Oryzias latipes: one gene and its partners. The protein of the gene in region 3 interacts with the protein of the main gene of each other region in a biochemical or structural test. Links are inferred from orthologs where the notes say so. Each region holds a gene or a part of one and is shown on either strand. Other genes may lie near its edges. The genes, in order: tada3, ncoa6, retinoic acid receptor alpha-A, med1, nr0b2, nrip1 and psmc5.

What was found.
Region 1: the proteins of retinoic acid receptor alpha-A (region 3) and tada3 form a complex in vitro, tested with the Homo sapiens proteins (2 studies listed by BioGRID). The link is inferred for Oryzias latipes from reciprocal best matches to the Homo sapiens genes RARA and TADA3.
Region 2: the proteins of retinoic acid receptor alpha-A (region 3) and ncoa6 form a complex in vitro, tested with the Homo sapiens proteins (3 studies listed by BioGRID). The link is inferred for Oryzias latipes from reciprocal best matches to the Homo sapiens genes RARA and NCOA6.
Region 4: the proteins of retinoic acid receptor alpha-A (region 3) and med1 are reported together in a solved structure, tested with the Homo sapiens proteins (2 studies listed by BioGRID, with this or other methods). The link is inferred for Oryzias latipes from reciprocal best matches to the Homo sapiens genes RARA and MED1.
Region 5: the proteins of retinoic acid receptor alpha-A (region 3) and nr0b2 form a complex in vitro, tested with the Homo sapiens proteins (2 studies listed by BioGRID). The link is inferred for Oryzias latipes from reciprocal best matches to the Homo sapiens genes RARA and NR0B2.
Region 6: the proteins of retinoic acid receptor alpha-A (region 3) and nrip1 form a complex in vitro, tested with the Homo sapiens proteins (4 studies listed by BioGRID). The link is inferred for Oryzias latipes from reciprocal best matches to the Homo sapiens genes RARA and NRIP1.
Region 7: the proteins of retinoic acid receptor alpha-A (region 3) and psmc5 form a complex in vitro, tested with the Homo sapiens proteins (2 studies listed by BioGRID). The link is inferred for Oryzias latipes from reciprocal best matches to the Homo sapiens genes RARA and PSMC5.

The regions. Positions count from the first base shown.
Region 1 is NC_019863.2:25,385,388-25,390,454, reverse strand, and holds the start of tada3 (transcriptional adapter 3), read right to left. Parts: upstream 3,406-5,067; 5' UTR 2,991-3,405; intron 2,954-2,990; exon of another isoform or gene 2,808-2,953; intron 2,730-2,807; 5' UTR 2,650-2,729; coding exon 2,440-2,649; intron 2,366-2,439; coding exon 2,118-2,365; intron 1,982-2,117; coding exon 1,876-1,981; intron 428-1,875; coding exon 292-427; intron 211-291; coding exon 107-210; intron 24-106; coding exon 1-23. Other genes in the region: actin-related protein 2/3 complex subunit 4, read left to right, coding at 3,631-3,633, 4,170-4,288, 4,569-4,680, 4,768-4,863. UniProt on the Homo sapiens protein: Functions as a component of the PCAF complex. The PCAF complex is capable of efficiently acetylating histones in a nucleosomal context. The PCAF complex could be considered as the human version of the yeast SAGA complex.
Region 2 is NC_019865.2:14,786,826-14,790,045, reverse strand, and holds the end of ncoa6 (nuclear receptor coactivator 6), read right to left. Parts: intron 1,611-3,220; coding exon 1,569-1,610; intron 1,329-1,568; coding exon 1,195-1,328; intron 1,123-1,194; coding exon 1,076-1,122; 3' UTR 759-1,075; downstream 1-758. Other genes in the region: DNA topoisomerase 1, read right to left, coding at 48-72, 371-403. UniProt on the Homo sapiens protein: Nuclear receptor coactivator that directly binds nuclear receptors and stimulates the transcriptional activities in a hormone-dependent fashion. Coactivates expression in an agonist- and AF2-dependent manner.
Region 3 is NC_019877.2:4,426,573-4,430,937, forward strand, and holds part of retinoic acid receptor alpha-A, read right to left. Parts: intron 3,239-4,365; coding exon 3,097-3,238; intron 1-3,096. UniProt on the Homo sapiens protein: Receptor for retinoic acid. Retinoic acid receptors bind as heterodimers to their target response elements in response to their ligands, all-trans or 9-cis retinoic acid, and regulate gene expression in various biological processes.
Region 4 is NC_019877.2:9,656,860-9,661,224, forward strand, and holds part of med1 (mediator of RNA polymerase II transcription subunit 1), read right to left. Parts: intron 2,162-4,365; exon of another isoform or gene 1,993-2,161; intron 1,258-1,992; coding exon 1,151-1,257; intron 826-1,150; coding exon 747-825; intron 460-746; coding exon 405-459; intron 249-404; coding exon 116-248; intron 1-115. UniProt on the Homo sapiens protein: Component of the Mediator complex, a coactivator involved in the regulated transcription of nearly all RNA polymerase II-dependent genes.
Region 5 is NC_019874.2:9,914,448-9,918,675, reverse strand, and holds nr0b2 (nuclear receptor subfamily 0 group B member 2), read right to left. Parts: upstream 2,409-4,228; 5' UTR 2,407-2,408; coding exon 1,806-2,406; intron 1,725-1,805; coding exon 1,483-1,724; 3' UTR 836-1,482; downstream 1-835. UniProt on the Homo sapiens protein: Transcriptional regulator that acts as a negative regulator of receptor-dependent signaling pathways. Specifically inhibits transactivation of the nuclear receptor with which it interacts.
Region 6 is NC_019872.2:2,653,959-2,658,323, reverse strand, and holds part of nrip1 (nuclear receptor-interacting protein 1), read right to left. Parts: intron 1,385-4,365; 5' UTR 972-1,384; coding exon 1-971. UniProt on the Homo sapiens protein: Modulates transcriptional activation by steroid receptors such as NR3C1, NR3C2 and ESR1. Also modulates transcriptional repression by nuclear hormone receptors.
Region 7 is NC_019877.2:6,907,828-6,912,094, reverse strand, and holds the start of psmc5 (26S proteasome regulatory subunit 8), read left to right. Parts: upstream 1-1,467; 5' UTR 1,468-1,594; coding exon 1,595-1,618; intron 1,619-2,471; coding exon 2,472-2,543; intron 2,544-2,638; coding exon 2,639-2,708; intron 2,709-2,817; coding exon 2,818-2,915; intron 2,916-2,998; coding exon 2,999-3,055; intron 3,056-3,130; coding exon 3,131-3,361; intron 3,362-3,503; coding exon 3,504-3,630; intron 3,631-3,739; coding exon 3,740-3,930; intron 3,931-4,267.

The DNA of each region.
Region 1 (5,067 bases), on a different chromosome or scaffold from region 3:
TCCATGGGGGATATAATGTTCTCCTAGGAGAAGAAAACAAATACATTCTTTACTTTACTTTACAACCTAAATGTTGGGAGCAGAAAAATGCAGGAAATAATCTGACCTCTACGAGAGCCTGGAGGAGACGCTGAGTGAGAGGACCAAAGGGACAGCCATCTTCTTGTGATTCGTGCTGAGATTCCGACTTTTTCAGCAGAGAATCTACATCTGCAGTGATTCAGCATGAAGACATGCCTTTCATTGGGAATCAACCATTACAGCAAACATCAATTTTGAACTTTTCCTCACCTTTTGCATCCAGCTCTGACAGTGGACCTCCCATGATGCCTTTCTTCTTGTCATTGGCTCGTGCGCCTTCCCTCTGTTCCTCCAACAGATCCTCTTGAGCCCACCTCTGGGAGTAGTGTTTCCCCAGCGCTGGAATCTAAGGTTAATATCAACGCCAAGAAAGCTCTGTTTGATTCTTGCTCCACATTGTGTGCAGGCAATCGTCTAACAAGTCACATTACTATTCAGTCATTTCACCCCTTGATGCAAATATGCATCAAACCACTTCTGCTCCAAAATTGATAATATTTTTATTTATTTATATAGCACCTTTTAATTTAAAAAAAGATATGTTTTTTAGCTGGTTTTCAAAGTCTGCAGATCTGAGGCTGAGAGGAAGGGAGTTCCAAGAGGGATGGAGCCACCGCTGCAAAGGCTTTGTCACCTTTAGTTTTTAACCGGGTTCTCTTAACAACCAGCAGACCCTGGTCACATGATCTCAGGGACCAGCTGGGAGTGTACGGCTGCACAAGGTCTTTTACATAGTCTGGTTTTTTAAATGATAAAAAAAAATATCTTAATTTAGCATCTACATGAAAGCAAAAACATAAGTGAATTATTTTTTCATCACTGGAAAAATATTCAGGCGTCGTGAGGTTAAATGGTGACATCAAACGTTACCTTTAGGGTTGTTTAACGTGAATTAAAAAATTATTCAGAACCAAGGAGGGATGAGAACTGATTAGCAATTATTCAGTGATTTAAAAAAATTTTATATTTAACATCACAAGAAAGTATTTGCATAATATGTATTTACTTGTTGTTATATAGACGCATCATTAAAGCTCGTTTTAGAACCGTTTTCCTGTGATATATACCGGTACATTTCTTACATGTAGTCTAATAATAATAAAAGGAGTAGCTAGTAAGGCAATTACCTTATTTAAAAAGGTGGAGAGAAAAAAGTTCCCAACATTAAGTTATGCACAGGAATAAATTACTTCAATGAATAAAAATAGGCTCATAACAAGACAAACTAATGGGTCAAGCTTTGCTTATATTTCTCTTGCTCTTATTAGAGCAAAAATGTTTTTATGTCTGACTAGATAAAAAACCCTACAATTTTTAAGACCATTAAATATTTCCAAGTTCATTTAGCTACAATGTTGTTTTGGTTAACTTGTACTGAAGTGATGAAAAAAGGGTTTTTGTGTAAATTGGTCTTAAGTTCAGTAAAGTGAATACTTTGTAAATGTTGAGTAGAAGTTTGATGAATTTGCATCTAAAAAAGTCACTCTGATCCTCTTTTGATCCATTTTCACAGCGTTCCCAGTGGTCTTTAAATGTACACAGACCCACAACTAATTATCTTTTTTATTTGGTGACGTTTTAAGTTTTCGATCTGGTTTTCAGGTCATACTGACAGAATTCGGACATGGCTTGTTTGCCAAGAACCAAATGAAGTCCTACCTAACTCTGTTAGGAAACAGAAGTATTTAGGGAAGAACATAGAACTTTAAGGGTTTCTTTTGAGGGAGAGGTGTGTATCGCTTTGAATCTAGAAGCCCCACTGCCTTAAGTGAACTAAAAGTTTTAAAATCATACTTTGAAATACTCAGCCTCGTCCTCTAAGGGCTTAAGAAGCTCTTCAAGCAGTCGTATTTCTTCATTGGTAATATCTGCACAATACGGTTCAACTGAAGCCCAGAATCTGGAAAAAAAAAAGTAAAAAGTAAACAGATTAAACATAAAAAGGGTTTTAATCCACCAAAACAAATAAACTAAACAGTGAAGCAAGGTTGAAGCCGAAAAAGATAAGTATGGTGTGAAAAGCGCCTCGTGCTGACCTGTTGGGAGCATCATTTTTGGGGGTGCACGGGATATCTTGTGGTTCATCTGTAAATTCATACTCTTGAACTTTCGGCTGCAGGTTTTTGGATTTGGGCCTTCCGGGACCAGGTCCTTGTCCATGTGCTCCTTTCCCATCCAGTTTTTGTTTCTTGGGCTTGTGGCGGGATGTGGCTGCAGGATCAGGGTCTTTTCCCATTTTAAGGAAGCGCTTGTCTCCCTTTTTGTCTTGCCAATCTGTGAGGATCTGGAAGGATGAAAGCGATGCGGTAAATCAAATGTTGCGTCCATCTGCTGCTGAATGGATGAGCGTCCACCTACCTGTCTCTGCTCCTCCAGGGCTCGCAGGCGGCGGCTGGCTGAAGACAGGAGCGTCTCCAGCTCCAGCTGCAGAGTATCAAGCTCCCCGCTGCCGATGCCATCGTCCTCTGAGCGGCCCAGCACGGCGGTGTAACGGGGACACAACCTGACATGATCCACGGGCTTGAAGTCGTAGTATTTCAGCGGGGAACAGTCCTTCAGCTCGCTCATGATGTTGATTGTTGGCAGGGAGCCGTTAGTCTGATGTAACTGACGCAAAATGATGAACAGCGGGGTAATTTACAGACCATCTGAAACGAACACACAGTTCATCCTGATCACGTTTGGCCATAATTAATTCATTAAAAACACAACACATAGATACGTACGCATCACACACGACACACTCGAGCGGGGCTGAACCAGCGGCCGGCCAGAATTGCCCCCAAATTACATTTTTAATTACACAGCGAACTGCTTAGAAATGGCTTATATAAACACAAACGTTTTTTTAACGCCACACACTTCAAGAACAGACGCGTAATTAATTTTTAAAGATCAACGATATTTACCGTCAGTGAAGGTGCCCATGATGGATTATACCATCGTGCAAGTGGGGGTGTTTTTTGTAGGCTTTTTTTTTAATATATCACCTTGAAGTGAACACAGTTGCTGTCTCAGCATTTGTATAGAATAATACATATAAAGAAAAGACATAATGCCAAAAAATATGGAAAATGGGTAAATGCATTTTACGAAATCTAGAAAACGCCCAAAGCTGCATCTGTGATGGTACTGTCGGAAGAAACCATTAGGTCAATCTGAATTTGTCAAGTAATAGCCACTATGTTTTCAACTTAAATGCTATTATATGAAACGAGTACAATTATGACTATAAAAATTTAATATTGAGGCAAAAAATTAAATAATGTGTAGATATTACAAGCCTAAATTGTCACTGAAGAAAAACGTCTCCCCCGTTGTACAGTGAAATTGAAGTCCGATTGGGTTTGCTCGGTTTCTTATAACGTGTTTTCTGGATGGGTGGAGCCACAAAGCAAAACTGCTAGATGAGTTGCGCACCGAGAAACTGTCGACCTCATCAAACGAAGACAAGAAAACAAACGCACCCTAGCGTTACTCTACTATGCAGGATTTACGGAAGAGCCGTCCCAGGCGTGGCAGAGGAACTTCCGTCTTTTACTGCTCAAAATGGTAAGTCTGATGCATAATATTTTCGCTTATATTTTACAATTTAGCTTTTTATTCCAAGCAACTATGGATATTATTAATGTGAGAAAAGCTAGCTAGCTTCTAGATCTTTATCCGGTGTTAGTGGTTCGATCTAGTTATCGGAGGGCAGGCATCCTTCATGTAGGTATGCAGAAACTAGACTAGAGTGACAGAAGACGTGAGCTGCCTTTTCCTGTTAGCCTCTTTTTCATTTAGGCTCTTTTTTGTCTGTTATGTCACCCGGCAATCTTTAAAAGATACAAAAAAAAGAAGAGATGATCACATTTTTTACTAAAATGTTGCTCTAGAAATCTCCCCAAATCCCATCCTCTGTTACAATAAACTAGAGAAAAGAAACATGCTAATGGCTTAATTCATTACTAATCACAATATTTGGTTGAAATGATAAAAAATGGCATGGAAATGTAATGTTCTAATTGGTGCTTATATCAGCCTTGATCCCTTAGTGTTTCAGTAAAGCAGGATTCCTTCACATACTGATCTTCTGCTCATTCCAGACAGCGACTCTGCGCCCCTACCTGAATGCTGTGAGGGCCACCCTGCAGGCCGCCCTCTGTTTGGAGAATTTCTCCTCTCAGGTGGTGGAGCGCCACAACAAGCCTGAGGTGGAGGTCAGGTATGTGTCACATCAGCAACTGCAAGCCTTTCTTTTTTTATATTGTTGTTGTTGCTTGCTGCTGTTGCATCTTTTCCGATTGTGGTTCGTCAGCTGCTTTCACACAAGTTCGGACCTGTGCGGACTTGTACTGGAAAATATTTGTGGGAAGGGGAAAAAAAGACATGGACGCACCAAATGTAGCTAGCTGCAGCTTGCCTGCAGATGTCCTCCTAACAAAGTGAGACAGAGCAGCTGGAGATTTGAAAGCTGAAGGGATCTGATGGCCATGTGTTTACAGGAGCAGCAAGGAGTTGCTGCTTCAACCGGTGGTGATCAGTCGTAACGACAAGGAGAAGGTGTTCATCGAAGGGTCCATCAACTCTGTCAGAGTCAGCATTGCTGTGAAGCAGGTCCTTAAAAAAATCTCTACAATATAATACGTTTTTTTCCAGGATTTGCAGGAACAGTATTTGAAAACACTTGTGTTGTGATCACAGGCTGATGAGATCGAGAAGATCCTTTGCCACAAGTTCATGCGCTTCATGATGATGAGAGCGGAGAACTTCTTCATTCTGAGAAGGAAGCCAGTGGAGGTGGGGGATAAATCAGTTCAGTTGTGCTTAAAACAGACAACAGAGTCATTGTTGAGGAAATGAGGAACGGATTATTGCTTTGAAAAAGACAAAACCGTTTTAAATGGTCATCTGGGCTCCGTTTTTTAAGTTGAAGATACTGAGAAGGTTTCCTGGATAAAGGGTCGCCAACCTAAAAAAAAACTGAGTCCAGATTATCCTGGA
Region 2 (3,220 bases), on a different chromosome or scaffold from region 3:
ATACTAATACAATAACAAATATTAAAATGCATGATTAAACGACCTACCGCTTCCATTGGCTCCACAGTTGACCTGAAATTTACAAGAGAAAAATGTTTTGAGTGTGCGAACTTTGAGAATGCCGGTACTTCGATTGTTTTAAGTTCCAATGGTCACAAAACTACTTATTATAAATGCGTATTTATTCTTAAAAATTAAAAAAAATTAAATTGATGCATTGTTTTGAAACCCATCACTACAACAGCTGAACTTCTAACGTTACCGGACAGATTTTCTGCCATTCTTCTTATTCTAACGGTTATTTCTAGTGTTGTTTTAGTTCTTGCAAAAAAGAATGAATGCGAACTCTCCAAACGGGGAAAACAACTACCTGGGAGTCTCGATGTCCATGATCTCCACTCATGTCCGAGCTGGTTTTGTTTGGAATGCAGGTTAAATTGTTGACGGATGTTCAGGATGCTACAGTATTGGAAAGAGGAGGCTGCCTGGGAGCCTTCACTGACAGCACAAAAAAAATGGAGTCCCTACATTTACCCACTGCGCATGCTCCGCGCGCACATCATCCCAGACAGCATAAACACATCCATGACACCTCTGTCTTTTCAAATCACATTTTAGTAAAACCTGTTTAGTTTGGCGAGTCTAAATACTTTCTAATATTCTTTTCAGCTTCTAGTGTTATTAGTAAATAATAATTTGGAGCAAGGAGTCAAAATAAAGGGCAAAATGAATAACTTTGAACACAAAAGTCGACACAGTTTCACAGAACGAAAGCAGTAGAAAATGTATTTCCATTTTACAACATAATTACACAGTCATAACAAGTTTTATAATCAGTCTTTGAAATCAATCCAGCATTTCATATAAAAGCACATTCACACAAACTGTATGCACACACTAGCTACAATCTCACAGGATAGCATGAACAATTAATATTGAAACAAAATGTACATGGTTGTTTTCTTTTTTCCTCCAGTAAAATTTCATAATCCGAGCAACAAAACCACCTGCTTCACAGCAGACAGAGAAAAAAAGTTACTTTACAGTTCACAGCTAATCACAACTGCAGTTGGATCTATTTAGACTTCCTTCGCTTGGCTTGAGTGGGGCTTGCTGCAGTTTCTGTAATAAAAACAAAAAACTTCTGTATGTAGGAAGAGATAATATCTTTCAAATTCAGATGAATGTTTCTACCTTTTGCGGCGGAGCTGGTTTGAGGCCTTGCTGATCTCTTCCTGCTGCTGCTGTCTGCTACTGGCTCCTCATCCACCTCTTTCTCAGCTCGGGAGCTGCGCCTACTTGGTCCCTTGGGCTTTTCCACTGCAGCTCTGAGAGAAACGGATATAAAAACAACAACGAACAGGAAAAAGAAAGACAAGGTACAGGTGTGTTACAAACAAGCCAGGGTGTTACACTACTGCTCTAGTCAGAGCAAACTAATACCAATTAGGACTGTGCTGTTTTCCTCATCTACCACAGATGCCGTCCGTCTTCATCCTGACAGCATCCACTACGTTGACATAGTCACTGCTTGTGTCTTTGAAGCACTAACACATTCAAATACATACCTTGGGACTAAGTTGATGGGCGTCTTTCTTTTCTTTGCCCATCTGTGATAGAAGTGGAAATGCAGCTGTAAACTATCAACAGCGCTGAACAAGCAAAGCTTCACTTCCCCACCATATATTATTTCAATCCCAGGAAATGAGATGTATTCTCAGAGGTCATGGTAACGACCAAATTAATTTAATCATGAGCTTTTCCTTCAGTCATACATTGTATATTCATGTAACTGCCCGGCGAACATACACACCAAATGCTGAGGCCTTTGTTTAACACAAACCCCATGCTTAACCAAATAAACTCCCTGAGTTTTAAAAAAAAAAGCATTTTTGTTAAGAATAAAACAGCTTTTTCAAGATCAACACTAGTGGATCTAATAATCTCAGTAAGTATAAACAATCCCATTTTTTATTGTATTTTTTTAAGGAATGCAATGTTGACTCTTCTTCCTCAGAGGGTTTACAGTGTACTTTGATTTATTGTTCCATGCAGCAAACGAGGAAGAACATAAAAAGTGAGTACAGAAAAGTAAAATGACTGTAAACAAAATGTCTCATTTTATGGCATCCACTATTAAAAACAAGCAACAGTTTAAAAAACAGAGAAATCATATTCCTAAAAAGAAAGCAGTATTTCTTCTTTTTGACATAAAATCCACACAAATAATTTTTGAAAAGGACATATTGGGGATGTCAAAACAAACCTAATTCCTTCTATAGAGGTGCAAAACAATAAGAAGCAACATTAACAGAAAATATGATATGTATGGTTAATACAGCTTTGCTTAAATATTACTCCAACCGAATCTTTTGTGAATGGAAGGTTAAACATTATTATGGTGCTGAATGTATTTTGTTACTTAGATTCTGAAGTAACAGCTACCTTACCTTCTTGTTAGACATCAACATAACACTGAGAGTCAAGTATAAACATAACTCAAAGCGTTTCCCTAACCAGACAACTGACTCCACTAAATTGAAGCCATACAAGGTGCTATCAAACAGTTACATAAATAAAGCACTTGGTTATCTGGTTTCTGTGTTTACACTGTTGAAGTTGTGCTAACATTAATTTGTAACAGTAATAAAAATCAAAAATCATTCACTGCGAGGCTTTAAAATTAATTTAAAAGACCCTTTCAGATGAAAAAACTTGCTTTTTGGTGTTTTTAAAATTCTTGTGGCAATTTTCTGATGAGGACATATATAAAGAATAATAAGATTAAAATTGTACTTCTGTGTGTCTTTATTTCAATCACTGTAAAGCAGTGGCAGACATAAAAATCTGCATTAAAAAAGAGCTAATTTGTGAAACAGAAAATAGTGAGGGGAATGCTCTGCGCCAACGGTCCTGCCAACATCTCAGAAGCAAATTTCTAATGAACTACTGCTGTCCAAGAAAATGACAATTTTATAATTAAAGGATGCTTTTACAATTGATCAAAAGATTATTGGAATGGGTCTTTAGAAATTTAGCTTCTAGTGAACTAAGGTCAACTGAAATGGACTTTTGCCACCAAAATTACCTGATGAGGAAGAAATGAGTTAAAATAAGCCTGTACCACATCAGTTCTAACCACAGGTCCACATCATCCCCCCATTTGAAAGGTACAACCCCCGCAGATCAGAAACAGTTTGATCCTGGGTCACTGGTAAAT
Region 3 (4,365 bases):
TGAGTAAAAGCATTTATTCCCACTAAAAAAAACCACCTAGAAATAGATTTAAAAGAACTAAAATTGTAAAATTTGAAAACAAAATTCAAATAAGGAAAGAAAATGTCTGAAGATGGGGCAAGAATTCTTATTCTCTAATAAAGAATTCGAGTCACTAAAACATGTTCTCTTAACAAAGATGTTTTTGAAACTGAAAACTTTATAGATAAAATTATTTTTCTTGCAATACAGAAAATATCTATTTTTCTTGAAACCAGGAGTGTTTACTTAAGATTCGCTTTTTGCAGTGCACGACTGATCGAAATGTATTTCATCATCTGACCTTAAGTCTATTCTTTTTGTAATGCCTTGTTTTGCGTCCCCTTTCACTCGGGGCATCAGAAGTCACCTGCTTCCACCAAACCCTGCCAGGTAACTGCTGAACTGACATTATGAGCACTTTCTTTGTTACTTTCTGCTTGCTCCCAACAATCCGCCTTTCTCACTGATGCAGTCTTACTTGGCATTGCCACCTGGCAGCAAGCCTGGAGCTGTTGTCTGGAGCTGTCTGCCAGCATACATAAGGTCACCCGGACGTCCCTCCGTGCTAGCAGGGGGTCCAGCCTTCTGGATGTGTGGGTGCACGCTCTCTGAATGTGGAACCGTCCCAGCTCCTTTCTTGTTTATCTTTTTTCTTTCTTTCTTTGCATTTTAATTCACTCCACTCCGTGTTGTCACCTTGAACCTGCGTAACGCCGCAGTGAGCGGGTGAGCGTGCATAATCGAGCGCTCTGACGGGCGCGTGCCCCGTGCTGTCGGAGAGTCCCTGCAGGCTGCAGATGGTTCGCGTCTCCGCTGCCTCCGGCACCGACCCAGACCAGTTTGGCGGGCCAAAGTCACTGCTGTGACAAAAAGTCGAGCAATCTGCCCACTCTGCACAAAATGTTTGGGCTGAACAGGGCTTTATTATAAAACAGGAGGTGTATTTATCGGACATGATTAGCAAAAAAGGAGTCCCTTCGAAAAAAGAAATTCTTCAAAAGTTTAGTTTTTCTACCACTAGAGGGCACTCTAACTCCACCTTTTGTGCTGTTTGCCACCAAGTGAAATTGGGTGTAAAAGAACTGGCTGCTGTGGTGTTTCTAACTATGATTAATGGCACCGTTCAAAGGTAAGGAGCTCAGAGGATAACTTTTTTTTAACTGTAAGCAACAGTGCTGTGGATATGGAGGGGGGGGGGGGGCATCAGTAGCAAAGACATAATGTGTTTATAGGCAGGTGGGGAGAAAGGACGCAGTGCATTTATAGCTCATGGCTGCGGGCGCCGCCGCGTCATGTGATCAGGTGAGGTATAAACCCTGCTGGCCTTTGAGCTCTCCGTGGTCACACCTCCACCAATTACTTCATCAAGTCTGACTGCCCGTGTGTGTGTGTTCACACAGCCCCCGGGGTGCAATGATGGGAGCAGACGCCTGCTCTTTCACTCTCGGCAGGTGAGAACATATTCATCACCCAGGCCTGCCAAGTCTGGAGACACGGCGACTGTTGCTGCCCGTCTCCATCGCTTCTGCCCTCGCTGCTACCAACACGGTTTATCCTGCAGATTAAACAACCAAACGCAGACAAAACTCTCACCGGGCTAATGCTGCAGCTAATCATTTGAAATAAAATAGGATTTGTGGGAAGCTGATGGATGGAAGAGCTGGGGAGGAAAAGCTTTCACAGGAATGATGAGGAATCCATCTCGGACATAATGGCAGCTTCATGATTTCACAGGACAATACGATGGACAGTCTTGAAAAAAAAAGATCAATTGGCCATGAATACACACACCTGAATTAAAGCCAGAGCTTTCATTTATTTCTTATTTTTTAAGAAAATCACTGTCCAAAGCGTGGGTGGAGATTTGAATCTGCAGTTACTACTGTCACATCAGAAATACATCATGAATGACAAGCATATAGTATTAAGATATAAAATATACTTTTGTTATTTTTGTTTTGAAAATTGTAACCGGATTTTAAAGCTCTAATACAGGAAAAAATGGATACACCCTCAAAGTGGATTTTCTAATCTTAGTATTTGGAAAAAACATTAAACAAATCATCTGGTTCAGGGCTTCTTTTTGTCAATTTAGGTAAAAGAAGAAGAAAAAAATACTGCTTTTCTTTTGAAAATCTTAAAAATAAACTCCAACAAACAAGAGGTTCAGCCTTTTGATGACCTTACAAAAAAAACTGGAAAAGGTTTTCAGTTATTGAAGCTTCAGAATTCACAAATTACTTATTTTCTTTTTATATTTTCATTGTTTTTCCCTCCCCGTCAATGAAATGTGTTGTACCTTTTGGATTAGTCAAGTTTTGGTATAATTTGGCTCAATTTATGATTAAAAAACAAGAAAAAAATATTGTTTTTTTCATAGTGCATTATCTAAACCAAATCATTCATTATTTTATTATTGCAGCCTAAAACTAAAACACCACAAGCATGACAAAGTTTAGGTAACCCACACAACATGATTAAGGGAAACAAGGAGATAAATTGAGGTCCTAAAAGGTTAAATAAGAACAAAAAAAGTATTAACTTCTTTCTTTTTCTGTTAAAAAGTCTATTTAAATCTATGAAATCTGTATGAAAAGGCCAACTATGGAATTAAGGCAGAAATCCATAAAAACTTAACTTTTGTCTAATTCTAGCAACGGAACAAACAAAAAAGTTTATTTTGCTCAGATTTAATTGAAACTTCTCAGGCCCTTCTTAAAAAATCTTTGGTCTATTACATCTTTTTAAGAATAAATGTGTTTATTTAGGCTCATTGTGAGCAGCAAAAAGATTGTATTTAAAAAAAGAAGAACAAAATCTGATCTCCTGAGACACAGAGCCTCTCTGACCGCTTTTATTTCTACGGTCAAAAATCGAACCAATAAACCCAGCAGTCAAATAAAGAATTATTCCACTGCATTGATTTTCAGCTGTAATTTTAAAGCCTTGAAAAACACAAAAATTGAACCAAATTAATTAAAAGCTGCAAGCAGGAGAACAAACTCTGAACTACTGCGATTAAACCCAACAACATGAGATCCTGTGTAGGTGGGAACAACGGGGATCTTTACTCACATTCCTTCGACATGCCGACTTCCAGGCACTTCTGTAACCGACAGTACTGGCAGCGGTTGCGGGTGACTTTGTTGATGATGCAGTTCTTCTCCCGGTGACAAGTGTACACCATGTTTTTCTGGATGCTTCTCCGAAAGAAGCCCTGCGTGGCAGAAGAACGCAGCGGTGAGGCTAAACAAACCACAGCACGGCTCTATAGGATGCTGCTACACCTTTAATCCAGGTAAAACAAAGCAGCATGTTTTTCAGGATGAAATAGGGGTTGATATTAGGAAAAAGCCAACAATACCACACACCGATGCAGATGAAAAGCACTAAACCATCAAGCAGTTAAGTCCATAAAGGGCTTAATCTGAGACATATGGCGCATTCCATTTAGAAATGAAGCCGGAAATGGCGGTGGCTTCTTCCCCGAGCCAACAGCATTCCAGTTTATTACAGAAAACCAGCGGAGCTTGCTCATTTGCCAGAAGAACTACTGTACTGTCAACAGTCGTATAGGCTCATAATGTTGCCCACCAGCTTGTCTATATAAGGTTTAAAGGAAAAAGAAAATGCTTTTGAGATGTTAAAAAGCCTCAAAGGGTTTTAGGTCAAAAGCCACGTGGTTGGCACACAACTGTGACCCAGTTCAGAAAGCTTCAAATAAGTCATTGTCGATCCAGGCCAGCAGACAGAGGCGTGCAGGAAGAGTTCTGCATCACAGGGTTGTGTAAGGCCAATAAATGCATCTGTCCTCCTAAATCCAAAAGTTTCCTCTGATTCCTTGGGATTACAAACACAAATAAATTCATGTACCAGAGGAATTTTCTCTGCAAATGTCAAACCAAACATGATTCCAAAGCTTCCTTCTATTTTTCTCGTTTGGGGCGTTGTAAACACATACCCATGTGACACTCGACAACAATAACAAATCAGCGGAGAAGCATCTAGTTATTTTTAATACCATGCGACCGAGGAGAAGAAAGTATTTGCGTTAATCCCAGTGGTTCTGTTGATTAAACATGTGTGTCAAAAAGATAAAAAAAAAAGGGGTTAATGCAAATCAAGAACAAGTGGGTAAGCAGGCAGCGAGCCTGGCTGTGGATGAGAGCGCCACAGGTCAGGACTGATGTAACCGAGTGGGTAATGTTTTGATGGGCAGCGGCGGCGGGAGATAAGAGAGGGAGGGGGAGCTTCCAGGGAGCCTCATCCCACGCCGAAGGATTAGCTTTGCTAGCCGACAGATGGCCGGTGGACGTAAGCCCTACGGTTTGTCCTTTGGAGATC
Region 4 (4,365 bases), about 5.2 Mb from region 3:
AGAGACCAAAAAGCTACTTTTAAGAAGAACTTTTTTAGTTATTTGTATATATCGTATTGTAGTTTCCAATTAAAAAGTGCTAGTTGGGAGTTTGAATAATAAAACAAACACTGACTGTAGGGTTCTCTCCTTGATGAGCCACCTTGACGTCCACCAACTGACCGTTTGAGTCCAGCTGCACCTCCACATAAAACATATCAGAAGTGATGTAGCACTCTGTCCCTGTAGGACTCAGATGAGAGCCCAACCTGTGCAAAGAGGAAAACAGGGGGAAAAGAAAGAAGTTTTATGTATAGATTGTGTCAGGTTTCTAAAAGTGCCTTATGAATGTATAAGTCATCTGATATACTGTATATATATACACAATAATATATTAAGTGGCCAAAAGAAATTTATGAAGTTACATGTTTTGTCGTGCAATAGATTCCAGGCGATCCGTCATTGAAGACAGAGATGACACTGAAAAAAAAAATATATATATATCATGTGTTTCTTCTACGTAATCTAATAACAAGTAATTTTTACAATATTGACATGTTTTGCACACACAACAGTTTGCGTATGTTTTGTATTTACTTTCACCCGTAAGTTAAATAATTGGAGGAAAATATAAAGCTGAAGTGAAAAAGTAATTGTCTGAAGCCTTCACGGCTTTACCGATTAAGAGACAAAACAATCATTATGAAAGAATTGCGACGTTAGCTATTCATTCTTTTTCTTTTTGCACTGTGGGACGGGACCCTCACCTTTTAGTGCTCTCTGCAGGGTCTCCAAACAGTTAAGCAGGAGCTGGTGACCTGCCGCATTCATCACACCGCGTTTCTCCTGAGGCACAACACGAGTAAGGAGAGGAAAAAAAAGAATAAAATGTTGAAATTAATGATTATGCTTTATACAACCAAATCGGGCTTGCTTTTAATTTGCGTAGCCAGCACTCTTGGTCTGACATTTAAATGTCACCAAGGGAGGTCAGTAAAGAAATAACTTCTTTAAGCTGTTTTGTGCTTGTTATTACATACTTAACTAAGAACACTAACAGGCTGTAAATGAACTTTTACTGCACTCTGAGCATGTGCAGTAATCTAGAAATATTTTTATAGTATGTATAATATTGTGGGAAAATTGGAAAATAATAGAATATCTGTCTTACCATAGCCTGACGCACAACTTTGCATGTTTCCTGCCATGGTCGGGAAGCATTGTGTTTAGCATGAAGTCTCTCTAACAGAGCAACCGTTCGACTCTGCTTTTCTGCCTCTAAAAGACAGAAACAGAATACAGTTAAGCCTATAATGACTGACCTGTTTTTCCTTTACACATTGGATTTATTTTTTTCCTAAAAAAAAAAACAGATTAAAAAATACAAAACTTTGATTATATATCTTATAAAGGACAACATAACCTGATTACTTTCATAAAAAGGTTGAGTTGTATTTTTTTAGGCAGTTAATAGTCAGGTAGTATCACTATATACCTTCTTTAAACAAAGGCTTAAACCCTTAGTTATAACAAATATTTTATTGCTGTAGAATGCAACTAAAAAATAGTCAAAAGTAATTTCCCAATTTATCACCTCTAAAAAATGTCAGTATATTTACATACAAAGAAGAGCATCTACTGAAATCTTAGGTCAGCAGTTTGTTTTGTTTAGGCTCAGCTAAAAGTAATGACATTTTAAAATGACACGTTGCTTTCTAAGGGAGAAATATTTAAAGCGTCTGTTCTTTATGTAACCAAAGAAACTATGAGCATTTGTGAAAAGCTTTAATAATATAAACCTACGGTGGCCGACAGAGCTCACACTACATACAAAAAAGACAACGCAACGACATTACCCGAAGCACAACGGCGTTCCCCGAAGCACAACGGCATTACCCGAAGCACAACGGCATTACCCGAAGCACAACGGCATTACCCGAAGCACAACGGCATTCCCCGAAGCACAACGGCATTACCCGAAGCACAACGGCATTACCCGAAGCACAACGGCATTCCCCGAAGCACAACGGCATTACCCGAAGCACAACGGCATTAACCACAGCGCGACGGCATTAGCCGCAGCATATCAATATTAACCTCCTCAGCACAACGGAAATGACGACTATTTTTCTTCCTACTGGACATAAAGTCAGTTTCAACATATTCGGCGCTCCTGAGAGAGGTACGTGATTTTTTCTACTACTAACTATGAGGATCATAATGGTGTTTTCGTTTTCTTACTAGATAACCTAATTTCTTACAAATATACTCTTCTTCTTCTTTCTCTTTCGGCTTTTCCCATCAGGGGTCGCCACAGCGAATCATCCTTTTCCACCTCACTCTATCATGGACATCTTCTACCCTAACATTAGCCAACTTCATGTCCTCTGTTAAGACATCCATGTATCTCCTCTTTGGCCGTCCTCTTGCCCTCCTGCCAGGCAGCTCCATCTCCAACATCCTTCTACCAATATATCCACTATCCCTCCTCTGAACATGTCCAAACCATCTCAGTCTGGCTTCTCTGACTTTGTCGCTAACACAGGCAACATGAGCCGTCCCTCTGATGTACTCGTTCCTTATCCTGTCTAACCTGGTCACTCCTAAGGAGAACCTCAACATCTTCATCTCCGCTACCTCCATCTCAGCCTCTTGTCTCTGTCTCACTGCTACCGTCTCTAACCCATAGAGCAGAGCTGGTCTCACCACTGTCTTGTACACCTTTCCTTTGAGTCTTGCTGGCACTCTTCTGTCACACAACACTCCTGACACTTTCCTCCAACCGCTCCAACCTGCCTGCACTCGCCTCTTCACCTCTTTTCCACAATCCCCATCACACTGAACTGTTGACCCCAAGTACTTAAACTCCTGCACCTTCTTCACCTCAGCCCCCTGTAACCTAACACTTCTACCTTGATCCCTCTCGTTCAGACACATGTATTCTGTCTTACTACGACTGACCTTCATACCTCTTCTTTCCAGAGCAAACCTCCACCTCTCTAGCTGTTCCTCCACCTGCTCTCTACTCTCACTGCAAATTACAATGTCATCCGCAAACATCATTGTCCAGGGAGATTCCTGTCTTACCTCGTCTGTCAGCCTGTCCATCAGCATAGCAAACAAAAAAGGACTCAAAGCTGATCCTTGGTGTAGTCCCACCTCCACCTTGAACTCCTCTGTCTGACCTACAGCACATCTCACCACCGTCATACTTCTCTCATACATGTCCTGAACTACTCTAACATATTTCTCTGCCACTCCAGACGACCTCATACAGTACCACAGCTCCTCCCTCGGCACCCTGTCATACGCCTTCTCTAAATCTACGAACACACAATGCAGCTCCTTCTGACCTTCTCTGTACTTTTCCATCAACATTCTCAAAGCAAAAATGGCATCAGTGGTGCTCTTACGGGGCATGAAACCATACTGCTGCTCACAAATCTCCACCTTCTTCCTAAGCCTGGCTTCCACTACTCTTTCCCACAGCTTCATTGTGTGGCTCATCAACTTTATTCCTCTATAGTTGCTGCAGTTCTGCGTGTCACCCTTGTTCTTAAAGATTGGGACCAGAACGCTTCTCCTCCATTCCTCAGGCATCTTCTCACTCTCTAAAATCCTATTGAACAACCTTGTTAGAAATTCCACTGCTGTCTCTCCTAGGCACTTCCATACCTCCACAGGTACGTCATCAGGACCAACGGCCTTTCCGCTCTTCATCCTTTTCAGAGCCTTCCTAACCTCATCCTTTCCAATCTCTGCTACTTCCTGCTCCACAACAACCACATCTTCCTCCCTTCTTTCCCTGTCATTTTCCTCGTTCATCAGCTCCTCAAAATACTCCTTCCATCTTTTCTGTACACTCTCTTGGGTTGTTAGCACCTTTCCATCTCTGTCCTTAATCACCCTTATCTGTTGCACGTCCTTCCCATCTCTGTCTCTCTGTCTGGCCAGCCTGTACAAGTCCTTCTCTCCTTCCTTTGTGTCTAACCTGTCATATAGCTCATCGTAAGCTTTCTGTTTGGCCTTTGCCACCTCTCTCTTCACTTTACGCTGCGCTTCCTTGTACTCCTGTCTACCTTCCTCAGTCCTTTCTACATCCCACTTCCTTTTAGCCAACCTCTTCCTCTGGACGCATTCCTGTACTTCCTCATTCCACCACCAAGTCTCTTTACCGTCTTTCCTCTTTCCAGATGACACACCTAGCACCTTCCTACCTGTTTCCCTGATAATCTCTGCTGTAGTTTCCCAGTCCTCTGGAAGCTCATCCTGACCACCCAGGACCTGCCTCAACTTCTGCCTAAATTCCTCACAAGTTTCTTCATTCTGTAGCTTCCACCACTTGGTCTTCTTTTCTGTTTTCCCTCTCTTCTTCTTCCTGACCTC
Region 5 (4,228 bases), on a different chromosome or scaffold from region 3:
CCTCTGACTGTGACTCACACACATAATTTAGTTGTTGCAAAGCCTTTCAATGGTTTTTTTCTGAAAAAACAAGGTCTATGTTTCATTAAAAATGATATGTCCCTCTACAAAAATGTTTTTTCAGGTTTAGTCTTTACCCTAGTGTTCCTCCTAATTGTCAGTCTCCCTGAGGTCAGTGTTGCAGCAGGCAGGCTTCTTCAGCCCTCAGCGATGAGAAGAACTTGTTGGACTGGTTCTTACAGAAAGGAAATAAAATCCTGGCATTTACTTTAGTCTTTTATTGCAAAGGAAGAAATGGTGCAGAAAACGATCTTCCGAGAACCCGTCCTAAATCTGTTTGGCCAAACAAATATTTATCAGTGAAAGTATAATGCAAAATGCTGCTACATGTATTTGCTCAGGGTCTGTTTTATAATTGCTGGAACAGAATAAACAGTTGTAGTTCAGCTTGAGAAACTACTATAAAAGGCAATCCCTCTCACACAGTCTTGAAGGGATAAGACTTCAATTAAAAAGATGGAAACGCAGGAAAAAAGTGGAGATTTTCCACCACCAGCTCTTTTTTTTTTTTTTTTTTTAAATGTTTTGTTTGTGCTGTGTTACCCCATTTCCCCTGGCTCACTGCCCCCACCATCAGCATTCCTGTTTTACCTGTATATGGTGTCAAGTAAAGAGAGACTGTTTCACAACCATCATACCACAGAATGGATGAATGTGAACAGCTTCTGTGGGGATTTTTGCATGAAGATTGTTAAGACAATACTGCTTTGTTGGCTTGGATTTACCCTTTTCTTCTCAGCGTATCATAAGATTGTAAAATAAGGTTGAAATGGGATCGAGGATCTTTCTTTTTATTTGCTTGTGGATGTGTTTTCCAATAGAGGGAGACAAAGCTTCGGAATGAACAAGAAATATTATTCTGTGACACATTCCTGTCATCATTTTTGAAAAAGAAAGAGCTCTTGTGGATAAATATCCACGTTCACCAACAAGATCCAACTGCAACTAAGAAATTTGTCAATCTGAGTTTAGCAACATCTTGACTCAATAATATGCGTTTAACAGCTGAATTTGTCAGATTAAGTGTGACAGTGGCATTGGCTTGGTGTGAGTCAAGAGCGTGAGGCTGTAATTTGTCATTTGTGTACAAAAATATATTTATTTGAAGTTTCCTGTAAAAGCAAAAGACACATATTTACAACAATGAAATAACAGAAAAGATTGACAAAATCAAATATTCTAATAGAAAGAGACAAGTCTGCCACTGTGTGAAAATCCTTCTACTTAGGGGAAGGAAATCTGTTGACACAGAGATAAAGTGACCTCAGCTTTGCGTGAATGTGAGCAATCATGGTGGCTTGTTCATCAAATCTACATTTTTTTTGTGGGGTTTTATAATCTGCTTCACAGCAGCCGTCCAACATTCCTTTCCCAGCCTGGGTGTCATGTGGTTTAAAGTCCCTCAGCTGAGGTCCACTGTTCTTATCTGTAAAAGAGCATGTCGACCAGCAGCTCCAGCAGGTCAGCCTGGCCTATGACGGGCCGGAAGAAGAGCTCGGTGACGAGGGTGGGTGTGATGCCCTGCAGCATGGAAGCTGTGAGCAGGATTCGAGCGAAGCGCTCCTCGCGACCCGGGTGAAGGAGCTGCACCACCTCCCTCAGGGCGTGCTGAGCTTCCTGCTGCAAGCCCTCCACAAACAATCCAGCCTTTAATTCCGGAACGTCTGTGGACGAGGAAAACGAGTAAAGTCAGTTAACGCACACACACATACTTCATCCTTTTACTGAATCCAGCACCTTCGTACCTGGATTGAATATCGTGGTTCCCTTCAGGTATGCATACTCCTTTGGGCTTAAATCCAAACTCCAAAACTTTTTGAGGCAAGACTTGAGTTTGCTGACGCCTGCCATGGTGGGCTGCTCCCTTTTAGCCTCGGGGCTCTCCTGGCGGTTCAGAAGAATCTTTTTCAGCATGCTGTCAGCGGGGGCATCTGTAACCTCAAAGTCCACATGTTCTTGAGCCAGCCCCAGAATAAAGAGGGGAGCCCAGCAGCTTCTCAACAGCGCAAACTGATCACTCAGTGGCAGCTGGTTGAACGCAGGCAGGCTCTTAATGAAGTGGACGGTTTTAACCAGAACTGCTGAGGCTTCTTTGCAGATCTCACTTGGACTTTTTAAGCACAGTGTCCGGCGCACCTCGCAGTTGCACCTGTGAGGCACTGAGATGTAGTTGAGGCAGTCTTGGCTCTGCATGCTGCTGTCCATTTGGCTCAGGATGTTGTAGAGGATGGGATTCAAAACCCTATCATTGTTGGTTAAGCAATGGCATCTGCTATCCATCTTTTTCCCCCCGATGACATATAATGGTGATGAATGCGTGCGTCCTCTCACAGATAGACTCCTCATGAGCTCCTGAGTGGTGCTGCTGCCTCTTCTATATTTATAGGGCCAACCCCCCTCCGTTCAGTGGACCTTGAAATGTCAATACACTCGATGTGAAAAACAACCGCTCGCTTTGCCAGGTGACTGCTGGAACAACCCTGGGAAACTGATAAGATTTTCTCAATGAAAGTAGCTGCTGGAGTAACACATATCAAAAAGGATGGGCCTTATCTGCCAGCAAGTGTCATTAACCCAGGCTGTACCAAGCTACCAAGGACTGCAGTGGTAATCCAACCCACACTGTGTCACTACACCTGCCAGATCACACCTGTGAAACTGGAACAAGGCCAGGGCACAAAGAGGGCATTGACCCCTGACTTAAATCCTCAAAAGTACAGTGTCATTTCAGTCAGTGGTAAAACTAGACAATATGGGAGAAAATTTTGAGAAAATTCTACGTATTGGCTTTTAAACTAAAAGAGAAATAAAAAAGAAGCTACTCTAAACTATTTTTAAGGGGCCTTCATCATGCTTTTATTGAGCCTTCCAGAGTGAACTATATCCATATATGTGATATATATTCTTTTGGCCCTAAAGAACGTTTTTATTATGAAATATGAGTTATTTTCACAATTCATTTCATACCCGGAAGTAGAATGACTCGATCTCTGAGGCACCGGCTTTCTCTCCTGGTGGGTCCGCCCGTTTCATGATGTCAACTTAGAGTCAGCCACAGCAGCGTGTCTGCGTTTTTCCCTCGAAAACAAACAATATCCGAACTTTTGCAAAGATGAATGTGCATAGAAACAGAATAAGCTAGAGAAAGTGGATGTGTGTTACCCTGGGGTTGGGGCTGCAGCGCAGACTCTGGAAGGGGCTGTTCCTCACTTTGAGACGTCACAATGTGAGGACCCACTCGTTGTTGTGGGTTGGGAGGGGCTGGTGCTCAGAGCACAGGTTTTTAGAGGAATGCTCAGAAATGCATGAATGGATCAAAATACCCCTTTGGGGTTGTTTACAGTGAGGAATGAAAATTACAATACACTTAAAGCTCAAAAAAGTTGATTTTGGATGATATAAGAACCCTTTGAAATTCCACAAATAAAAAGAAACAGACTGGTTAAAAATGACGAACTCTTGACATGAAATTCAACAAAATCTCAAATCACAGTTGCTTTGGGTCAATAGGTTGAATACTTGCCCAACAAACCTTGGACAAATATAGAAGTGCTGTGTCCTGTGAGTCATTTAAGGTTGTGTTTCTAAACCCGGTACTTGGGACACACTGTATTTTTTCAATCTTACCCGGCTCAAACTCAAATGCCTTAGGATAAATTATTTGCTTTTAATCTGGACATAAGTTTTAAAGCAATATTGTTTGAGACTTGTTCTGTAGCTCACTCAAATGAAAACAAGCTGCTGGAACTCCCTTTCTCCATACACTTTGGAATAGTCTATGCATTCAGTCTTGAATGCATAGACTCGAGCTCCAAACAGCCACGCAAAGAATCACAAATGGGGACGCAATGTTTTACAATCAACTGCAAAAATGATGACAAGAAAATAAACCGATCGAGAGGAATCACTTTTCACAGGTTAGTAATCACATTTTAATAAAGAGAAATCAGGCTTGGAAGCATGAAGTGGGTGTTAAAGTGGATGCTAGCAGGCTGGTTTGAGTCATCAATGTATATTTTATTTAATGTTTGATGTTTAAATATTTTAATGTAATGTTTATTACCTAAATATTTGACAAACTTGCTGCTTTCAAGACATGTTGGGTTTGTAGTGCAGGAATAAAACGTATTACTTTCACAAAAGGCTTTGTGGCTGTGTATTAGACAAT
Region 6 (4,365 bases), on a different chromosome or scaffold from region 3:
TTGGAGTTTAGAGTCTCTGAAGACCCTCCTAAGCTGGGAGGCCTCTTGTCCTGACCTTGCTGCTGGTTTGCCATGGCAGCTAGTCTCTCACTGGCAGATCTCCCTGAGAGTTGGGCTTTGAGTGCATGTTCTCTAGAGTACTGCTGGAGATGGGCTTCACTGGAAAGCAACAAGGCCAGTTGACTGCAGGCAACACTCGGCTTGGGGGACGGTACTGGGCTGGAACGGATTTTCACCATGTTTGCCACTGCCTTCAAACGGTCTGCGCAGGACACCGATTCAGTAGCTGTGGGAGTGGCAGGAGGTGTGGCGCTGTGTGTTGACCGAGGGGACTCTGTGTTCCTTTCCTGATTATGGCCCCGACGACTGTACGGGGTATTGTTGTGGTTCTGAAGTTTATTCTTTCTCATCAGACCCTTCAAGCGGCTTGATGCAGTCCCATAAACAGGTAGTGGCTCTTTGTCTGATGGTGGTGGCTTGGGTGAAGAGGGACACTCACTAGCAGGCTTATTAGCATGCTGGGACATTGCAACACTCTGAAGCCGTGAACTAAATGACTGCAACAGAGAAGCCAACAGGGTGCTTTCACCAGCATGAGGAGATCCATCTAGAGCTCCATTTGGTAGCCCCCCCACTTGGCCATTCAGCTCTATTTGAGGCGAATTAATCCTTTGGTTCCCTGGATCATTCCAAGCTCCAGAGCGCAGCAAACGAGCTTTCTTCAGATGTTGTGAAGAGCCTAGCGTGGGCCCATTGGTGCCAGCCTTTGGCGTAGTGGGACCATGGCTAGGTAGCTGGAAGGTTCCACCCCTCTTGTCGCCCTGCTCCTGATTGCTGTGAGCAGCCTCAGACCTCCCACCTGCCGTGGCCCCAGGCCCGGCCACCACTGGATGCATCAGTAAACCTTCCAGATAAGTTAGAACAGCTGAATCCTTGTGTGTCTCAGGGCCAGGCTCCTCCCCATGAGTCATGTTCAACACTCAGATCCCCTGGTATAGCTTAGCAATGCTACTGGGAAATTAATGTCATCTCAGTCATCAGATTGGCAGTTGAATGTACTACTTTAATCGGAAAAAGAGGATGTGAAGTTGCACCAAATGTGTATCCAGATGGGGGGAAGAATGTGGTGGCTGAATGCCTTGGTGGTGGTCACAATCAGCAGCTTCATGAAACCGGATCCATGCCTAGAGGCAGTGAGGGACAGGTGAGCCTCCAAAGCATCGCAGGATTAAAAAAGGCAGAGCTTCTGGTTCATGTCAGTAGAAAACTGGGAATCAGCGGGATTTCACGGAGGCGCTGACACATCCTGAGGTTGTAGATACTTTCCGTCTGTCTGCTTGGCTGTGGTGCTGTCTTCAGGCTTTGAAGATCTCACCAGTCAGACCTACAGGAGTGAGAGGAAGAGAGGAGGGCAAGGGAAATATGACAGGAAGGGAAAAGAGGGGAGAAAGAGGAGAAACCGTGTCAGGAGCAGGACTTTGTACAGGACTGTACAACATTTATTCCACCATCATTCATGCCATCTCTGTTACTTAGCAACATTTCAGAGTAACTGCACAAGGCTCCTCCCCCTCCTTCTCCTCACTGCACCCTCACAATCACCTAACTGACAATAAATGCAGATGAGGCTTGATTAAATTTGTACTGAAAATTCAAGCCCACTACCTTCAAACCATACAAGTACTGAGATCTGAGCATCTCCCTGCAGTATCTTTCACATGTGAGGGGTCTTAAAGCTCTGAATATTTCATTCTGCGCCTCATAATTCAGACGATTATCCCTCTCCACCGCCTCCTGCTTCTTATGCACTTGAGCTGGGGTCCGCCCACCTACTTGTGCACAATCAGGATTTTGTGATTGTTTATGCTTCAATATAGGTGATGCATGTATTGGTGTCCTTAAGAAGCTCCCCTTTAACATCCCCTTCACACCTTTGAACCATTTTAACCTGAAACTGTGATGATCAGAGGGGAACACAGCACGGTAATGACAGACAAGTTAGACTTAAATGTTAAGTGAATGAGTGTGTTTGTGTTTGTGTAGATAATCGGCTGCGCCTGTCACACCCGTCCACTGTCAGGAGGGCAGAGCTGGTGACATGGGGGTGAGCCCTGTGCCAGTTGCCATGACAGTGTCAGTGACGCTGCCCTAAAAGACCTCTGCTATGAACTCTGTCAGAGTGGTTTCCGTGGATACAGGACACTTCTGACAGTCCCGGTCGCATCTCATAAAGGTTAATTAATACAGAGTTTCCACCTCGCCTCGGCTGCTGTCTGTGTCCCTTATGCCCTCACCTTTAGAGTCCGCTCCATGGGCCGACATAGTTGGTCACGTGACAGGACAGAACCCATTTATTATGACCTGAGACCACAGCAACCTACTCTAACACCATTCATAGACAGCTGAGAAAAGACTAGAAACAATGAGGCACAGAACTCCTATTCAGTCGGAAATTCTTTTCTAATGCTGGCCCGATACTGACCGTATCAGGCCATGACAGTGAGACAAACTGGCTTCCACTTTAAAATGCCACATTGGAAATGAACTAGGATTAGGTGCTGGATTTAAGTTGATTAGGGCATAATTAAGTCTGAGCAGCAGAAGAAAAACAAACAGGTTAGCCATTTTAAAACCGGCTGCAACCAACAGTTCACAAAGAGATTAGGCTTTTAAACTTACATTCTACACCAGTAAAAGAGTCAAAGATTGGCCCATAAGCATCAATATCAGTTTAAGGCCATCTTTAAACAGCTGACCTAAATCTGAAAATAACAAAGGCCAACCTGGTCACTGTGGGCCATCTGACGTCTGTTGTCATGCTAATCTTAAATGCTACGGATTAGGACCGTTTTCCCGTCATTGACCTTAACACAGTCACAACAGAATGGCCTTGTGTGACCGTGTTTGATCAGAGCGGTAAACATGTTTACCTTCAGCATGCCTTGCTAAATGAATAATATGCTGCGATAGAGCCCTCTAGTCAGTGAGAGGAAATTGGGAACGGAAAAGAAACGCTGACACAGTTTCAACACGGGGAATTCTGTTAATCTCCCTGCTGCTGGCAGTGAACCCTTGGAATTACAGTTGACCTTGTCTGTGTTTTTGCCCAAAGACACTTCTATAAAGAGCTAGCAGGGCAGAGAAGGGATCCCGACACTGCATCAGTGCATACACAACACATCTGTGACATTAATACGCTTTTGAAACATTTCGTTTTCGCAAAAACCAACTGTATTTATTCCTTAGGTATAAGAAGCAAAGTTAACATGTAGTCTCATTGTTGGTGGTCCCCAAAAAGGCTGACCTCCACTCCCTCCCCATGCTGTGAAAACCACAGCACCCATGAGCTGTTCAGTGGTGATTATCCATTATCCTTGACAATGTCAGCCAATGACAGAGCAGGCACCATTCAAAAGTGATTTTTACCCCTACGGTCAGCTGTGCACACGCAGGAGGGGGGCTGAGGTGGTGATAATGGGGGAGTAGGCTTCACTCTCCCCTGACTGCTTGATTTCTCATCCAGTTCTACCTTTCTGTTTCACTCACAGTCACTTAAAAGACACTTCAAACAGGAAAGGTCAGCGTACTTTCAGCCACAGTCTGGGATTCACTGTAGAACCAGAGGTCAGAGAAAATATGACTCTGATGGGTCAGTCCTGAGTGATCTGCTTTCACCAACTCTTTATCCAGCTCGGATTATTTTTCTTTGTCTTAACTTTAAAATTATTTCGATTTTTTTTACTTCAATTTATTTGTTCTGGGTCTTTCTGAGGAAGGTGTTCATATGCCAACTGGACATATCCTGAGCCTGTTTATATCCCAACAAAAATCAGATAATTATCATCACAGAATCCTAGTCAACATGTTCAACTCCTGTATCTGAATTACTTCAGAGGAAAGCTATATGTACGTTTCAAACTTCCTGTTACTTTTAAAACATTTGCAAGTCCGTTCTCGGTAAACATGATGGAACCAAAGACTAAAGAGTTAGCATTTCTAATGTGGCAACTGGTAAGTCTACTACAAGGGCTTATACACGCACAGATGTAATACTAAGAAATAAATCAGGTAAACATGGATACAAGCCATGAAAGGTTTACTGGCAGGCAGAAATCTCAGAGAAATAAGCTCAATTCTGATTTATGTTTATGCTTATATGGTCACCTTTACAATTGAATAAATAAAAAAATCCAATAATAATCAGTTCTATGGTGCATAGTGATCCCCCATTTATTGCGGGAGTTACATTTAAAAAATAACCCATGATAGGTGAAATAAGTGATGTAGTCAGCAATAATTAGAGATGTTTCAAAGCAGTGAAACTCCTCACTACACACTTTCTCCACTTTTCTCAGACAGGCATCA
Region 7 (4,267 bases), about 2.5 Mb from region 3:
TCAGCCTCATTTATCTTGTTGTCTTGTAAAGTAGGGTGTTATCAAAGGGAAAATCTTCAGAACAAACATCATATCTGAAATAAAATGAACCCCGGCGGCACTTTTCCAGTTTTTCCGTCTCCCTTTTGTCTATTTAAACGTAGGTGGGGACCTTCCTCGGTGCAGGAAGCATCTGTTTGCTCTTCATCGCCACACTGAGCCGGTTGAAGTAATGTCTGCCTTGTAATGTAAAAACCTTTTTTTTAATGGTACACAAATGTTTAAGCACTGGTTCTTGCCATCCTGTGGTCCTTCACGGGTGTTTTTTTTTTTTTTTTTACTTTCTAAAAGCCATAATTATTCAATGCACCTGTATTTGAATATTTAGCCATACTTTAAATACACTTGCTTCAGAAATGTCTTTTGTTTAAAAAAAAAATGTTCAAAAATATTTTTATGCAAATAATAATTCTGCAATATTTGTCTTTATGTGTGTTGGGGCTGGGTTTGTTATAAAAATCAAACCTTTTCTGTGTCGGGCCAAGATTGTCCAACAAAAAATAGGTATATTTTATAATGGACAACTCTTTGTTTTTGTATTTTCTGAAAGTTTACATTCTGTTATTGATTTTTGGTGTGAATGATTTTAATTACAAAAATCATAAACTATGTCTAGTGTTGTAAATTGAAGCCTCAGATCTTTGACTGGTGTTGACGGTAAAATAGGAATTCAGCTTTATGTGGTGGTCATCAAACAAACTGTTGTGGAAATTCTCTTCCTAAAACTAAAAATTCTAAAAATTCCATGCTCATATGCCAAATGTGCTTTGTGAAATGACACAGCACAACTGTTGTGCAGATATTTTTTTTTGTACAGCTTCTGTGTTTAATGTTTGCATTTTTTTTCAGCTGAAAGTCTTTTATACATTTGACGTATTTTTTACAATAAATTACTTACAAATGCTTCTTTCACTGTTTTTTGGTTAATCATACCTGGTATAAAGGGTGTGTATTTTAACTATCAATTACAAGGCTGCCTTCACTGATGTGGGTTTGTAACTTTAATACGTTAATTTGCAGTTTTCTGCTGTAATTGGATAGCTGCTTTTGAGCCTGTGCGTGTCTGGGCTGGCTGCAGAGCTGGGGTGCTTCTGCAGGCTTACAACAGGTAAGACTGGTTTTAGTAGAAGAAACCCATACATCCCACTCCCTTCCCAGAGCTGCACCTCAGTTAGCTACAGTTGGAAATGTGACACCAGTTCAAAACAAAAACATGACATACAACTAAACAGTTAGTCACTGTTTTTATCTCTAAACTTTTAAAATGTGTGTATATTTGATATTTTTTTTCTATGCTCTAATCTTTTACTGTTATATGGAATAATGCAATAATTAAAGTAGATAAATGTTGTTTTTTGATAGTTTTGTTCTTTCTTGTTTGAATAATTTAAATTGTATTTTTTTAAGAGCGTCATAACAAAACAAAACAAAAACTATCTTAATTGTTGCGCCGCGTTGAAACGCTAGGGGGCAGTGTTATATTGCAAGTGCACTCATGATTGAAGAGGCTGGCCGGATGTGGCAGCTGCTCTGAAGCGGATGCTGAAATTTCAAGATGGAGTTGGAAGGCATCGATCAGGTTGGGTTGCTTTTTTGCTGGTTCATTTTGTTTTTTAAATTGCAGTCCTATTAAAGAGGCTTAAGTGCTGTGCTTTGAAGCCTGCTTCTCCTTTAAGTTGTCGTTGATCTGAAAATATGGTCTATAATGGTTTTAAAAAACAAATTAGTTTTTAACAAAGCTCTGAACCTGCTGCCTGCAGTTGTGTGCTGCCGGTTTGCTGTCTCATTGTAGCTTACTTACAAGCTAAAAAGCGCAGTCAAGTAAACATTCAGCTATTCCTGGTATTATAGGTTTTTCTAACTTACAGTCGTGTATTTGAAGCTTAAAATTCAAAAGTATATGCATTTATATAATATTTTATTTGTTTAAAAAATACAACAACGAACGTTTCCTTTGCTTTGGTCTTGTTTGCTAATACTAGCTAATGTTAGCTTCCGAAGCTAAAGTTAGCTTCCGGTAATATTTTTGTTTTTCGACCTTATTTTGGATCTTTAGCCATACAGACTGTCATGAAAGTCATTAGTTCTCAATGCATCAATGGACAATGCATCGAATAAGTAATTTTAATTTAAAAAAATCTTATTTAAACACGCCAAGTACTTAAGCTAATGGTAATTTTGTTGTTTCTAGTACTTGCTTTACACAATTTCCCCCCCAAAAAATGTTCTCCTTTTATGAGGAAATTTGGCACTCCACGTGGCATGTACCACTTCATAATGTAGTTATTATACTAGTAAAAAATAACTAAATATGATATCACTAACACTAAAAGGCGAACATTTAATTACTTATGTCTGTCATAAAGCTGTTAAATTTCACAGGAAATATTATTCTAGATGGGTTATAATGTTTGATTTTCTTTTCGAAACAGATGGAAATGGGAGACAATAAAGGGGGATCAGGGCTCAGACAGTACTACTTGTCCAAAATTGAGGAGTTGCAGGTAAGAAAATATTTATGAGCTTTTTGCAGATATTTTGGGTCAAAGATTAGGCGTAGAATGCTCTAAGAATCCTCATTATTTTTATTTTATGATAGTTGACAGTGAATGAAAAGAGCCAGAACCTTAGACGTCTGCAAGCACAGAGGAATGAGCTCAATGCCAAAGGTTTGCAGTTTTAGAATTTCTACATTTAGTTTTATCTTGTGTTGAAATATCAGCAATAGTAGATTTGTTAAAAGAGGGTTAATTGTTTGGAGTTGCTCCTCTTTCACAGTGCGTCTCCTGCGTGAGGAGCTGCAGTTACTGCAGGAGCAGGGATCATATGTGGGAGAGGTTGTCCGGGTCATGGACAAAAAGAAAGTGTTGGTCAAGGTGAGCTGTGTTTGCTCTCTATGCAGAAGCTACATTTGAACCGATTGGTTGCTGTTTTAAAAATAACGTTTTCACAAACCCAGGTCCACCCAGAAGGAAAATTTGTCGTGGACGTGGACAAAAACATCGACATCAATGACGTAAGTTTTTGGATTTTTTTGATACTCTTGGTGCAAAACTGCATTTAAAAAAAAATGTGGCTGTTTCTGCACCAGGTGACCCCAAATTGCCGTGTGGCTCTGCGAAATGACAGCTACACCCTTCACAAGATCCTGCCTAACAAAGTGGACCCTCTGGTTTCTCTCATGATGGTGGAGAAGGTGCCAGATTCCACTTATGAAATGATTGGCGGTCTGGACAAACAGATCAAGGAGATTAAAGAAGTTATTGAACTGCCTGTCAAGCATCCAGAGCTGTTTGAAGCTCTGGGAATTGCTCAGCCCAAGGTGGGTGAAATGTATGAGTGTTAAAGTGTAAAAGCTACTAATATATATTCAGACTTTGTGGTCTAAAACCAAACGTCATTTCCAAATAGATCAGCTGTAGACAGAGGCTCACAGGTTCTTTTGTGATGCTTCCTGTTGGCAGGGCGTGTTGCTGTATGGACCTCCAGGCACAGGAAAGACCCTTCTGGCCAGAGCCGTAGCCCATCACACTGACTGTACTTTCATCAGAGTGTCTGGCTCTGAATTGGTCCAGAAATTCATTGGAGAGGGTAAGAGGTCCTCTATCTCTCTGATTCCTAAACTGGATTCATGTCAGGCCTTTAATTGGATTCTCTCCTGTTTTGATTCCAAAAACCGTGTTTCTGTGTCTCGCCTCAGGCGCTCGGATGGTGCGTGAGTTGTTTGTCATGGCTAGAGAGCACGCTCCCTCCATCATCTTCATGGATGAGATCGACTCCATCGGCTCCTCTCGTCTGGAGGGCGGCTCGGGTGGAGACAGCGAGGTGCAGAGAACAATGTTGGAGCTGCTGAATCAGCTAGATGGTTTTGAAGCTACAAAGAACATAAAGGTACCATACATGTCACAGACATACATGTCCTCTGTCCTCTTTACTGTTTTTAACGTGAACTAAAGTCCCCACAAAACTTAACAAAGGCTGTCATGTTCAGGGGTTTTTTCCAGAAAGCAGGTTATGCTAGCTCCCACGGTAAGTTTGAGGCTAAGGAAGTTGATAACCTCAGCTTTCGGTTCCAGAAATGGAGGTATGTTTCAGGATATGTCTAGTTGCCATAGTAACTCATGCTCTGAACATAACCTGGTTTGGAGCAGGTTTAGTTGAAGCTTAGTTTGTTTTCAGAGAGGTGAAGCAGCATGGCGTGTCCATTTGAAGATGATTTAGTGGATGA